Drosophila melanogaster: one gene and its partners. The protein of the gene in region 1 interacts with the protein of each later gene in a pairwise test. Each region holds a gene or a part of one and is shown in the gene's direction. Other genes may lie near its edges.

Evidence for each region.
Region 2: the proteins of CG7744 (region 1) and Acbp1 interact in a two-hybrid assay, tested with the Drosophila melanogaster proteins (one large-scale study listed by BioGRID).
Region 3: the proteins of CG7744 (region 1) and Obp18a interact in a two-hybrid assay, tested with the Drosophila melanogaster proteins (one large-scale study listed by BioGRID).

The regions. Positions count from the first base shown.
Region 1 is NT_033778.4:19,450,646-19,454,409, forward strand, and holds the start of CG7744 (uncharacterized protein), read left to right. Parts: upstream 1-1,858; 5' UTR 1,859-2,043; coding exon 2,044-2,144; intron 2,145-2,200; coding exon 2,201-2,569; intron 2,570-2,901; coding exon 2,902-3,556; intron 3,557-3,607; coding exon 3,608-3,764.
Region 2 is NT_033779.5:8,161,153-8,164,312, reverse strand, and holds Acbp1 (Acyl-CoA binding protein 1), read left to right. Parts: upstream 1-1,860; 5' UTR 1,861-1,987; coding exon 1,988-2,002; intron 2,003-2,075; coding exon 2,076-2,190; intron 2,191-2,249; coding exon 2,250-2,392; 3' UTR 2,393-2,517; downstream 2,518-3,160. Other genes in the region: Rbsn-5 (Rabenosyn-5), read right to left, coding at 2,581-2,820, 2,886-3,160.
Region 3 is NC_004354.4:19,134,560-19,137,931, reverse strand, and holds Obp18a (Odorant-binding protein 18a), read left to right. Parts: upstream 1-2,063; 5' UTR 2,064-2,088; coding exon 2,089-2,139; intron 2,140-2,193; coding exon 2,194-2,529; 3' UTR 2,530-2,851; downstream 2,852-3,372.

The DNA.
Region 1 (3,764 bases):
CTACATACTTATATCCCATCTACGTATAAGATCAACTCTTATACGTTCTGCGAACCGTTCAACGACGACCGGTTCAGCCATTTTAGGTTAAAATGACGTCATGTTTTCTCTTTAGAAGACGCATAGCGGCAAAAAAAAAAAAATTAAATGAAAAAACCGGCCGACGCTCACACATACAAATGAGCAGCAAGCTCTTATGTGCGTGTAGAAAAGCTATCGTGTTTTGACGATAGAAAAGTACCCTTCACCATCTGGGCAGTGAAATGGCTTTCACAACCGGTGAAAAACTATGAAAGTCTTTCGCCCAAGAGAAAATGACTCATGCATGCAACACGCACACAGGCATACACACAGCCACCAGCGTCGGTGTAATTGCAGACACACCCAACTATAATTACTTACATATGTACATACATATGGGCACGAAGTACATATGCGAATGTCAATGGCCCTAAAGCATTATATCGATCGGAAATTCGGGCGTAACAAACTTTCGTTCTAAATTTTGGACCCCAAATGCCAGAGTAGAACAACAATTTTCAAGCATCTTTGCGAAATCGGACAAATATGCGGTATATACAAACACAGATGCCGGGACTCAAAAAGACCACTCGACACACACACGCACACAACTTGGTATACATAAATGCAAATGTGTGAGTGTGAAAATGCCGGCCTCAATACAAATTTTTGCCACATGGACAGCGAAGTCGTGCAAAAATGACGCCATTTTGGCAACTGTACTCTGGATGGAAAATGAATGGAAAATGCAAATGGGAAAACTTACCTTGGCGCCGATTTGGTTGCCGCACTGACCAGCTTGGATGTGAACGATTTCCCTCATTTTGTATTTGTTTTAGGCTTTTGAACTTTTAACTTAAAATTATCTTTCGCTTATAGCAGTCGAACACAACACAAACTGTCCGCTTCACACACTTGGAAAAATTAGTGCATTCGCTTTGGAGAGCGCGGGCTTTTATACGATGGCCGCAGTGTGGCCATACTACATGAAAACGAATAAAACGCAAATCCCGTTTTAGTGTGCTAAAACATCCCACTTGCCTGACATAACATTAAGTTTTAATTAATGTCAATGAAATAAATACAAAGTTTAATCGAAAGATAGTAGCTATGTTGAAAAATGTATTAAAAGGGAATACATTTTTGTCCATTTTATCACATTAAACTCAGTTGAAAAGATATCTTCCAGTATAATCTTGCTGGGCTTAAAAATAAACACCAGATGTAAGCCAGATACAAACTTTGAAAAATTTAAATAATTAAAATTTTTTTCTAAATTTAGGAACTATAAAGGTACATTTTTTTTTCATTGTTAATAGTGTATATATTATACTCTTACTAAGCAGATCCTGTAAATTCTAGCGACAACAAACTGTTAACAACTATTTTTATATTATTATTATAAGCTATTGACTGACCTATTTCGATGTTATAATGTCCACTTCTTTGGGAAGGATTTACAAAAATAAATATTACAATATTTATTATATTATATTATATATATATATAATTATATTATAATATTAATATATATTAATATTAATATTATAATAATATAATATAATAATTATTATAATATTATAATATTATTATAATATAATAATTAATATTAATATTATAATAATATTTATATTATAATATTTACAATATTACACAAATATTATTACAAAATAAATAAATAATAAAAATAAAATAAATAATAAAAAATAATACGAAAAACAACTTACAGTGTGTTACCACCTTAACATTTCGCCACAGCTCTCCTCAAAGGCCAGAAAACATAGGATGCACACTGTAGAAACTATCGCATCGCCTAACTACTGCCATCGCTAGAAGTTCCGCTGTATTATTTTGTGGTTATTTTCTGCGCGCGCTAATGCCGACTTGCATGCCGGCGTTGCGTTTCGTTTGGAAAAAGTGGATCTCTAGCTGGCATTTGGATAGCTAAGTGACTCCGTGACCCACAGAGGCACCAGCTTGACTGCATAGATAAGCGTGACAGATTACCGAAATACTAAAGCGATGCTAACCCTACTAATTCGGCTGGCGGCGACGGCCATACCTGTTTGTGCTATTCTCTTTGTGGCCGGCACGTTTCTGTTCAAGGTTTATATTAGCATACGGTAAGTGATGCATTGAGTTATAATAGTCCAGACTAACTAACCTGCAATGTCTACAGATCCCGCTACGACGCCCGTGTCAACTGCTGGTTCTGCAATGGCAATGTACGAGTTCCGTACCAGGATCGCAACAGTTGGACCTGCCCGTCATGCGAGCAATACAATGGATTCACCAAGGACGGCGACTACAACCGGGATATTACGTCGCAGCGGGACTGCAGCCTTGGCTCCCAAAAGAACAGCTCCAAAGGCAGCTCCAGCATCTGTGCCAACTCATATTATTCCGATGTCCTGACTGCTCAACCTCCTGCTCCCAAAAACGGCCTGTGCGACCAGTGCAACGAGGCGCAGCGCCTGAAGGTCGAGAAGCTCTCTCAATTCGAGCCCAAGAACGAGTCCCGATTCGATCAGGAACTAAAGGTTTACAGGTGAGCTGTCATAACAATAAGCATTATATATACAATGTTATGGTATCTATGTTTACTAAGAATCAAGCAAAGTAATTTAGCTTGATGTGTTTTATAAATGAGTTAATCGTGTTTAAGTCAAGCAAATAAGATATACAACAAACATACAAATGTATGTCTGAATATGATCTAAATACCCGTATCTACATCGGTTTGCAAATCAAAGACAAGTTAACTAGATTAGATAGTTTCTATGAGTAAGCCGATTTATAATTTATATCTATTAATAGAGAACCTTTAATATAAAAGCTGGGGCACAAGTTATTAAATAATAATATTTATGTTTTCCGTAGAGAACGACTGGAGAAGCAGTTTCGCCTGTGTAGCAGCTGCGAACGACATGTGAATAAAGTCCTGCACGAGAAGAAGAAAATGGTGTTGAGCTCCAAGTTCTTGAACTATATCATCAAGGGAGCATCGTTGCTCAAGCAGCCGCACTTCAACCGATTGGCCGCTGCCCAAAAGCAGTTTAAACTGCAGCGATACCGCATTCTGATGACCATCCTGACTGTAGTCAATATTTTGTGCCTGCTCTGCCGGCTGCCGAATGCAACTTCCATTCAGTTTACGACTTACCTTGGAAAATTCATTGGGCTAACCTTGTTCTACGCCTACTCCCACGTGCTGGCCTTAATTCGAGTGGTGACTTCGAGCGTAGGCATTTTCCTGGAACAGCGCGAAATGATAGCCAAACTTTTATTGTATGGCCGTACCTTTGGCAAGCTCTTGCTGTATTCGCTTGGCATAGGCCAACAGCAAGTGCAGCAAGCAACCTTCGCATCCTGTTTTATTGGGATCTACCCATATGCCATGCTGGCCCTGTGTTTCCTGCACACGATATACGACGGATTGAAATTTACGCGATTCACCATTGCTCTATTGTTATGGAGTGGGTATGCCATGGGTATCGAATTCCTGGATCCTTACATCAGTGGAATATCCTTTATAGTAAGTGCATTTACTTATATTTGAATCTTATTTAACAAATTCTTTAAACAGCTGGTGGGAAGTTTTGTAACCCTTGTTTTGTTGGCCACCAACCGGACCAATCTGTTGAGCCAAGTGAATCGGGACGAGTCTGCCTGTGAGAGCTTCCATCGCCTCTGTGCGGACGAATGCGATGATGAAACGCTGAGCATGCTCAGTCAGCAGTTAA
Region 2 (3,160 bases), on another chromosome or scaffold:
AAAATATTAGAAACATTAAAAAAAAAAAAAAAACATTTATTTATTTACGAAACTAAACTTATTATAAAGCTTGGATGAGCAAAGGGACATCCGGTAAAAAAAACTTGAAACTTCTGTTCAGTATATATGTATATTTTTGTACTAATATTTTGTTCTCCACTCCCATCTGACTTATGATTATGACTCGCGTTTTAAGCGTTCATCCATGACCATGAGTTATCTGACCGCTAATGGGTTAACTTCTAGTGGTGTTATCGCCGCACTTGAAAGTAAATACTTGTTAAATGAAAGGGGTTTACTACTGAAACGCTTATCGCGGCAGAGAAATGTAAATAAATGAAAGTTATTTGCGCTGATTTGACGCTTTTCCGTGCCTGCGCTAATTCCTCAAACTAATTGACACAGAAACGGATTTAAAAAACTTGCAGTACGCGATAATGAAATTAAAAATAGATCAACAGCTGAAAATACACGGTGTGCGAGCGAGATGGCGTGATCGGGCTATGGCCAGGAAAGTCAAACAAAAGCCAGCGGGGCAGAAAGAGATGGAGAGGGGGAAGTGAGAAGTGAGAAAAACACAAAGAACTAGAACACGGGAAATCAGAATGGGAAATCAAATGCGTTTGGTTTTCTTGTTTGCCTGCTCTTCACACTTGTTATTTGTGAATCTCGAATTTGTTTGACGAGTCGAAAGACCTTCAGCTTCAGCTATTTAGCGCCCTTTTTATCGAGTTGCTAGGCATTCGGAGTCGAGCAAAACAGAGAAAATATGGCCAAGTTCCACGGTGTCTTACCACATTTGCATAAGCTCTGCGAACGGCGACCACAACAAAAACGAAAGCGAACGATTTTTACCGATTTATCACCAGGAACGCACACTTAACCATACACTTTCTTTATTTTAACGAACTTTTCAGATCTTTTCGATCACTTTTGACCACTTTTCACCACTCTTTTTCTGACGGTGCAAATTATTTGGTAAGAACTTTAGCGCATTTGTTATTGTTTCGTTTCGGCTTCGATTTTTACAGGCACTGCGTTGTGTTTGCCCAAATCCGCGTATTGCATCGATTTTGGTTGCGAACTGCGTATATAGCGTAGTATCCGTATCCGTGTGCTCAGCATTAACCGAAAATATCGTTAATGTAACATTTTCTCCCGGCAATTTGTGCACTTTTTGTTACTTTTAGCGGAGCACCGGACGCACGACCAACGCAGATGAAAACATTTCGAACTGAATGAGTGGTTAGCGCTACCTTCTCCTTAAATACCCACGCTCTCCCGCTCTCACAATGCGTTTATGCGGGTGTCATATCATGAAATGAGTTAAATTCATGTATTGATGATGTCTAATATGGCCACATATGCTAGAAATCAATTGTATTTTGTGTATTTAAGAAGTAGTTATATATTAAATTTCCTCTTAATATTGATACATTTTAATTACTATGTACAACTGTTCAAAACGTTGACGTACAGCACATCATTACTCCATATGTTACTAATAGAAATCATGTTTCACGCGCCATAAGCCTCTCATTTTTGTTGCCACATTTGGAGAGAGCAGGACAGTGGGCTGAAAGATGTTCAATTGAGACAATCAACATTGGAAGGTTTTTAAAATATTTCGTTAATGTCTTGAAAATCTTAACGGACTATTTTGGATATTGTTCATATTATTCCATAGCTTTTTTCAAAACACAATTGTTTTGGCAAGAAACTGTCTACCAACTGTTACACATGTTCCTAACTATCATCGTAATAATGTATCTCAGTTCTCAATATGAAATTAGACTTCGAATCTTTTAAGTGTATAGGCTGCCAGACCCGCGAAATAAAACGCAACAGCTTGTCCACTCTAAATTGAAAAACTGTTGGTCACACAAAAGTATAGACCAGATATCGATAGACGCCGATAGATTCGGTGAAGTAAAATCGTGCAATTTCTTTTCCAAAGACTTCCACTAGTTAAAAAATAGATACAAAAATGTCCGAATTGCAGGTGAACTGAATCTACGTCAAATACGCATTCGTATCTTAAAGTCTGATTACCTATTCAAACTTAACCTAAACAGGAATTCAACCAGGCGGCCGAAGATGTTAAGAACCTAAACACCACACCCGGGGACAATGACCTTTTGGAGCTCTACAGCTTGTACAAACAGGCCACTGTGGGGGATTGCAATACAGGTGGGTCTCGGACATAGTCGTCACTCCGCTGCACCATCGATAATTCTAATCCAATGCAGATAAGCCCGGCTTTCTGGACTTCAAGGGCAAGGCCAAGTGGGAGGCGTGGAACAACCGCAAGGGAATGAGCAATACCGACGCCCAGGCCGCCTACATTACCAAGGTCAAGGCACTGATCGCTGCCGTTGGCCTGAAGTCATAGACTCAATCGAAATAGGATGTTGCATTTTATAGTCTCAGTTGTCGTCAAACGCACAAACTTTGATTTACAGAAACTTCGCACAAACTAAAATTTTTCGCACAATATACACCACAAATTCGTAACGTAACGTAAGCCATGTAATTTGTCATAGAGGGAATGAATATACATTTAACTATGTAGGATACTGCTTAGGCCTCTGTGGGTGAGGCGGCGGTGCTTCCCTGGGACTGGCGCTGTCGCTCGTACACTTCGCGCTGTAGCTCGCGAAGATTTAGCTCCAGCGTCTCCACCACCTCAAAGTTCATGTCCTGGCGAGCCTGTTTGATGTAGCCCTTAATGATGTTTATCTGCTCGATCAGCGGATCGTCCAGGCTGGACTTGCTAGCCGCCTGCGGTGCTGACCAGTTGTTCAGAGATTGAAGATCAGACTGTGAAGCAAATGGAATCACAGAGGTTACATATTGATCTTTGCAGAGAGTCCTCGTCTACATACCCCTTGGGCAAAGGATCCGCTTTCCGGACCAGGAACTCCAACGTTGGATTGGTTAGCTGCCATGTTATTTCGTTCGTAGGCTTCCATGGCCATGCGCTGTTCGGTGAGGATACGCTGCTCCGTTTCCATGCGTCTACGCTCCTGCATCTGGCGTATGTGCGATTCCTCTGGCAGTGGGGGCAGCGATAACATTCGCTCCTTGATGGCTTGGATGCAGCCCAACCGAATGGCCTTCTTTAATGCCTCCTCCCGGCTGCCTGGTTCACAAAATATGG
Region 3 (3,372 bases), on another chromosome or scaffold:
TTATTTCATTTGTCTCTATAGACATTTATGTTTGGAATTATCTATTTATAAAATCTTTCAATGTTCGCAAGAGTAAAAAAAAATTGTATTTTACATTGTTGCCTGCCTGATTCTAGCTATGGCTTCACGGGCCATATTGGGTTAACAGGGCATAATAGTATATGCTCCGTTTTACAATATTTCTTACAATTTTTCTTATCTATATATATTTTATATTTACTTTATATTTATATATATTTATTATTATATTCTGCTGTTGATGATGCTCATCAGGTGTCAGCTGGGCGTCGCCGGGGGTGGCACGCTGACACTCCCTCGCTGCTGTCTATTTCTTCGCCGCTGAAGACGTCGATGGTCGCTCACAAGTCCCCAGGCAGTGGGGACTCCAGATTCCTTCGCAGCCAGGGGGGCAGGACTTCTTTGGTTTTGTTAATGCTGGTGCTGGTGCTGGACATGCCTGGTATTTTGGAACTTCATTAATTGTGGGTATATTTTTAATATTATCTGAGTGAGTTTTCTCGAGCTTATGGGTCTTTAATTCTTGCTGATATTGCAACAAGTGGTCTAGCTCTGCATGTAGCTTTAGAGCTTTCGACCAAACCGGTGGCGTTTGCTGACCGTATATTAGCCACCTTACGTGGGCTATACGTTTATTCAGCTTAGTTTTCAAACCGCCACGGTGTTTGCCCATACTCAATAGAACTCTACTCACTCAGATTTTTCCTTGGTTTTTGCAGTTCCATTTAATTAGTCCAGTCTTCTTCCAGTCCAGTGTTCCTTTGTTCCTTTGTTTTCACCAGCTTTGGTCAATTCGTCCAGCGTTGGACGACTGTCACGGTCGCCATGTAATGATGAACTCCAATTCAGAACACAAGTCCGTTTTAAGTTGAAGGCAGCCGTCGGGCTGACATATATTTATTCAATTTCTTCTTTTGATTTTAGAGTAGGCAGAAATGGTTCTGTCAGCTCAACGTCTACAGAGTCTCTCTGATTTTACAGTTTTTAATATATTTGGACTTAGGCTAATCCGCGTAGCTGCGCTGCCGGGTACGCCAGCAGCGGAGCGGCGTTCTTATGTATATCTTATATATCTAGGCTTATCGGGAGAGCGAGATATGTATGTACGTATGTAATATGTATTTGGTCGGCGTGTGAATGCTGACCATGCACTTATACTTTTTGCCTTCGAGTGGGTGATCATGTTACATCCGCCCTGGCCTAACTGCGTGCATAAACATAAACATAAACATAGCAACAAAGTGCTGCCATAAGTTAATATGCTATTTTATTTAATTGTTCTTAATATTGCATAGGCACATACTACAGTTTAACATAAGAATACTTTTTTTTTTTGTTGTCAGCTTTAAATGTACGTGTTTTATTGCTAATTTTAATGTTCTAATTACTTTATTTATTCATTGGAAATGGGAATTCGCATAGACGAGCCCATCACGAAAATACTTACCAAAAAAGACAGTAGACTAAGTTTATACTAAAGATAATTAGGGGAAACCGCAAGAAAACAAAGAAAAAAAAAATGCAAAACGATAAACATTGTGGCGGTACAGTGAGCACTGCCTGCGGCCAACCTAAAAACATGACGAAATATTTTTTTTTTTTTTACATCGTGTATAAGATGTGATATTCGCTGCAAATCGCAAAGCGTGAATATAATTTGTATTTATACCTATATTAATGAACCATATAAAATATACGAATAAAGTCCAATACAGTAGATAGGCTACACATATGTTTTTTGTTTAAACTTCAGAGATGCTTGGAGTGTAAAAGCCAAAAATTGTATGTTTTCTATCTTAATAAATATGAAGAAAACCAAGTTGGTAATTTACTATTGGCAATTGTAATGCAGATATTGCGCATACGACATACGTGTAGCTCATAATCGGGAACTGCGCTTAAAATTTCAATTATAGACTTTATTTGTTGGTGTGTGGCGAATGTAAAGTAGCATCCAATTATTTAATTAAAATCTCCTGTCTACTTTTGAGCTGAATTAGCAAATCGATGGGTTATATATATAGAGCTGTGATGATGCGCTCATTGTTAGTTGGGAAACAGATTTTCGCCATGAAGGTTGTGTGCAGCATAGCTGTACTATGGATTTGCTTGATAACTATGGTCAGTTCTTAACGAAATAGTTATGTGTCCATCTAACAATACCATCTATTCTAGTGGCAATCAGCTGGCCGCGTTAACGCAGAGGGTTGCCTAAAGCACCACAATCTGACCAGTGCCCAAGTGCAGGCAGTGGCTCCATCCACTCCCGTTGCGGATGTTCCAGTGGCCGTTAAGTGCTATAGCCGGTGTCTGATCCAGGATTATTTCGGTGATGATGGGAAAATCGATCTGCAGAAGGTGGGAAAGCGAGGATCTCAAGAGGACCACGTGATTTTGTCCCAGTGTAAGCAGCAGTTCGATGGCGTCACCAATCTGGACACGTGCGACTATCCATACCTGATTCTCCAGTGTTATTTTAAGGGCAAGCAGAGTGGAACTATCGCCTCGTAATTTACCAAATAAACAAAAAATAAAGTATACATATATACATTACTACATACATATATGTACACACACATGACAGACACAATGGGCTTCATCACAGTTCATTGTTGAGTCTTCTAATCAGATCAAACGCCCTCTAATGGAAATTACACACGATTGTGCTTAGTATAAGTGTGATTTTCATTATTATTATTTGTATACAGTGATTAATAATTGTATTAGAGCAAAATAGTAGACATGCATTGTTTTAAACTCGTCTGCTTTTTATTGATTTGTTTTATGCAAAGTAACGTAGAACTGGTGGAAATACATAATGCAATAATAAGTCAATCAGAGTCTTTATTTTCCGAAAATTCGCAAGAAACATGGCCAAATAAATAACAGAAAATTTCAGTTTGCTGACCAAATATGTATGTATGCATGTACATATGTACATATATGGGTGGACTGGGAAGCCAAACACAAAATTTTCCCCCTGCTTGAATAATATTTGAAATGGCAGATATGGAAGATGCAATTTGAACATAATTGAAATGCAAATCGCAGACTGTGAACTGCAGAACCGACTTGATGGGGCGGATGTGTGGACGTAATAATGAATCCCAGTCGACCCCACAGGATGCAGGGCAAATTTCAATTTTCCCAGCAAATCATACGTAAAGTTTGGCCAAATACATTTTGGGCCAAGAGGGCCAAAAAGGGCCAGAAGGATGTCAATGCAATCAGTGAGGCATTTGACTTGGCCTTTCATTAACTCGACTCAGCGCAGTCGAGTGCAAAGGACACAGTACATAGTACACAGGACGAAAGACGCAGGACGCAGGACGCAGGACATGGCACACGAACTCC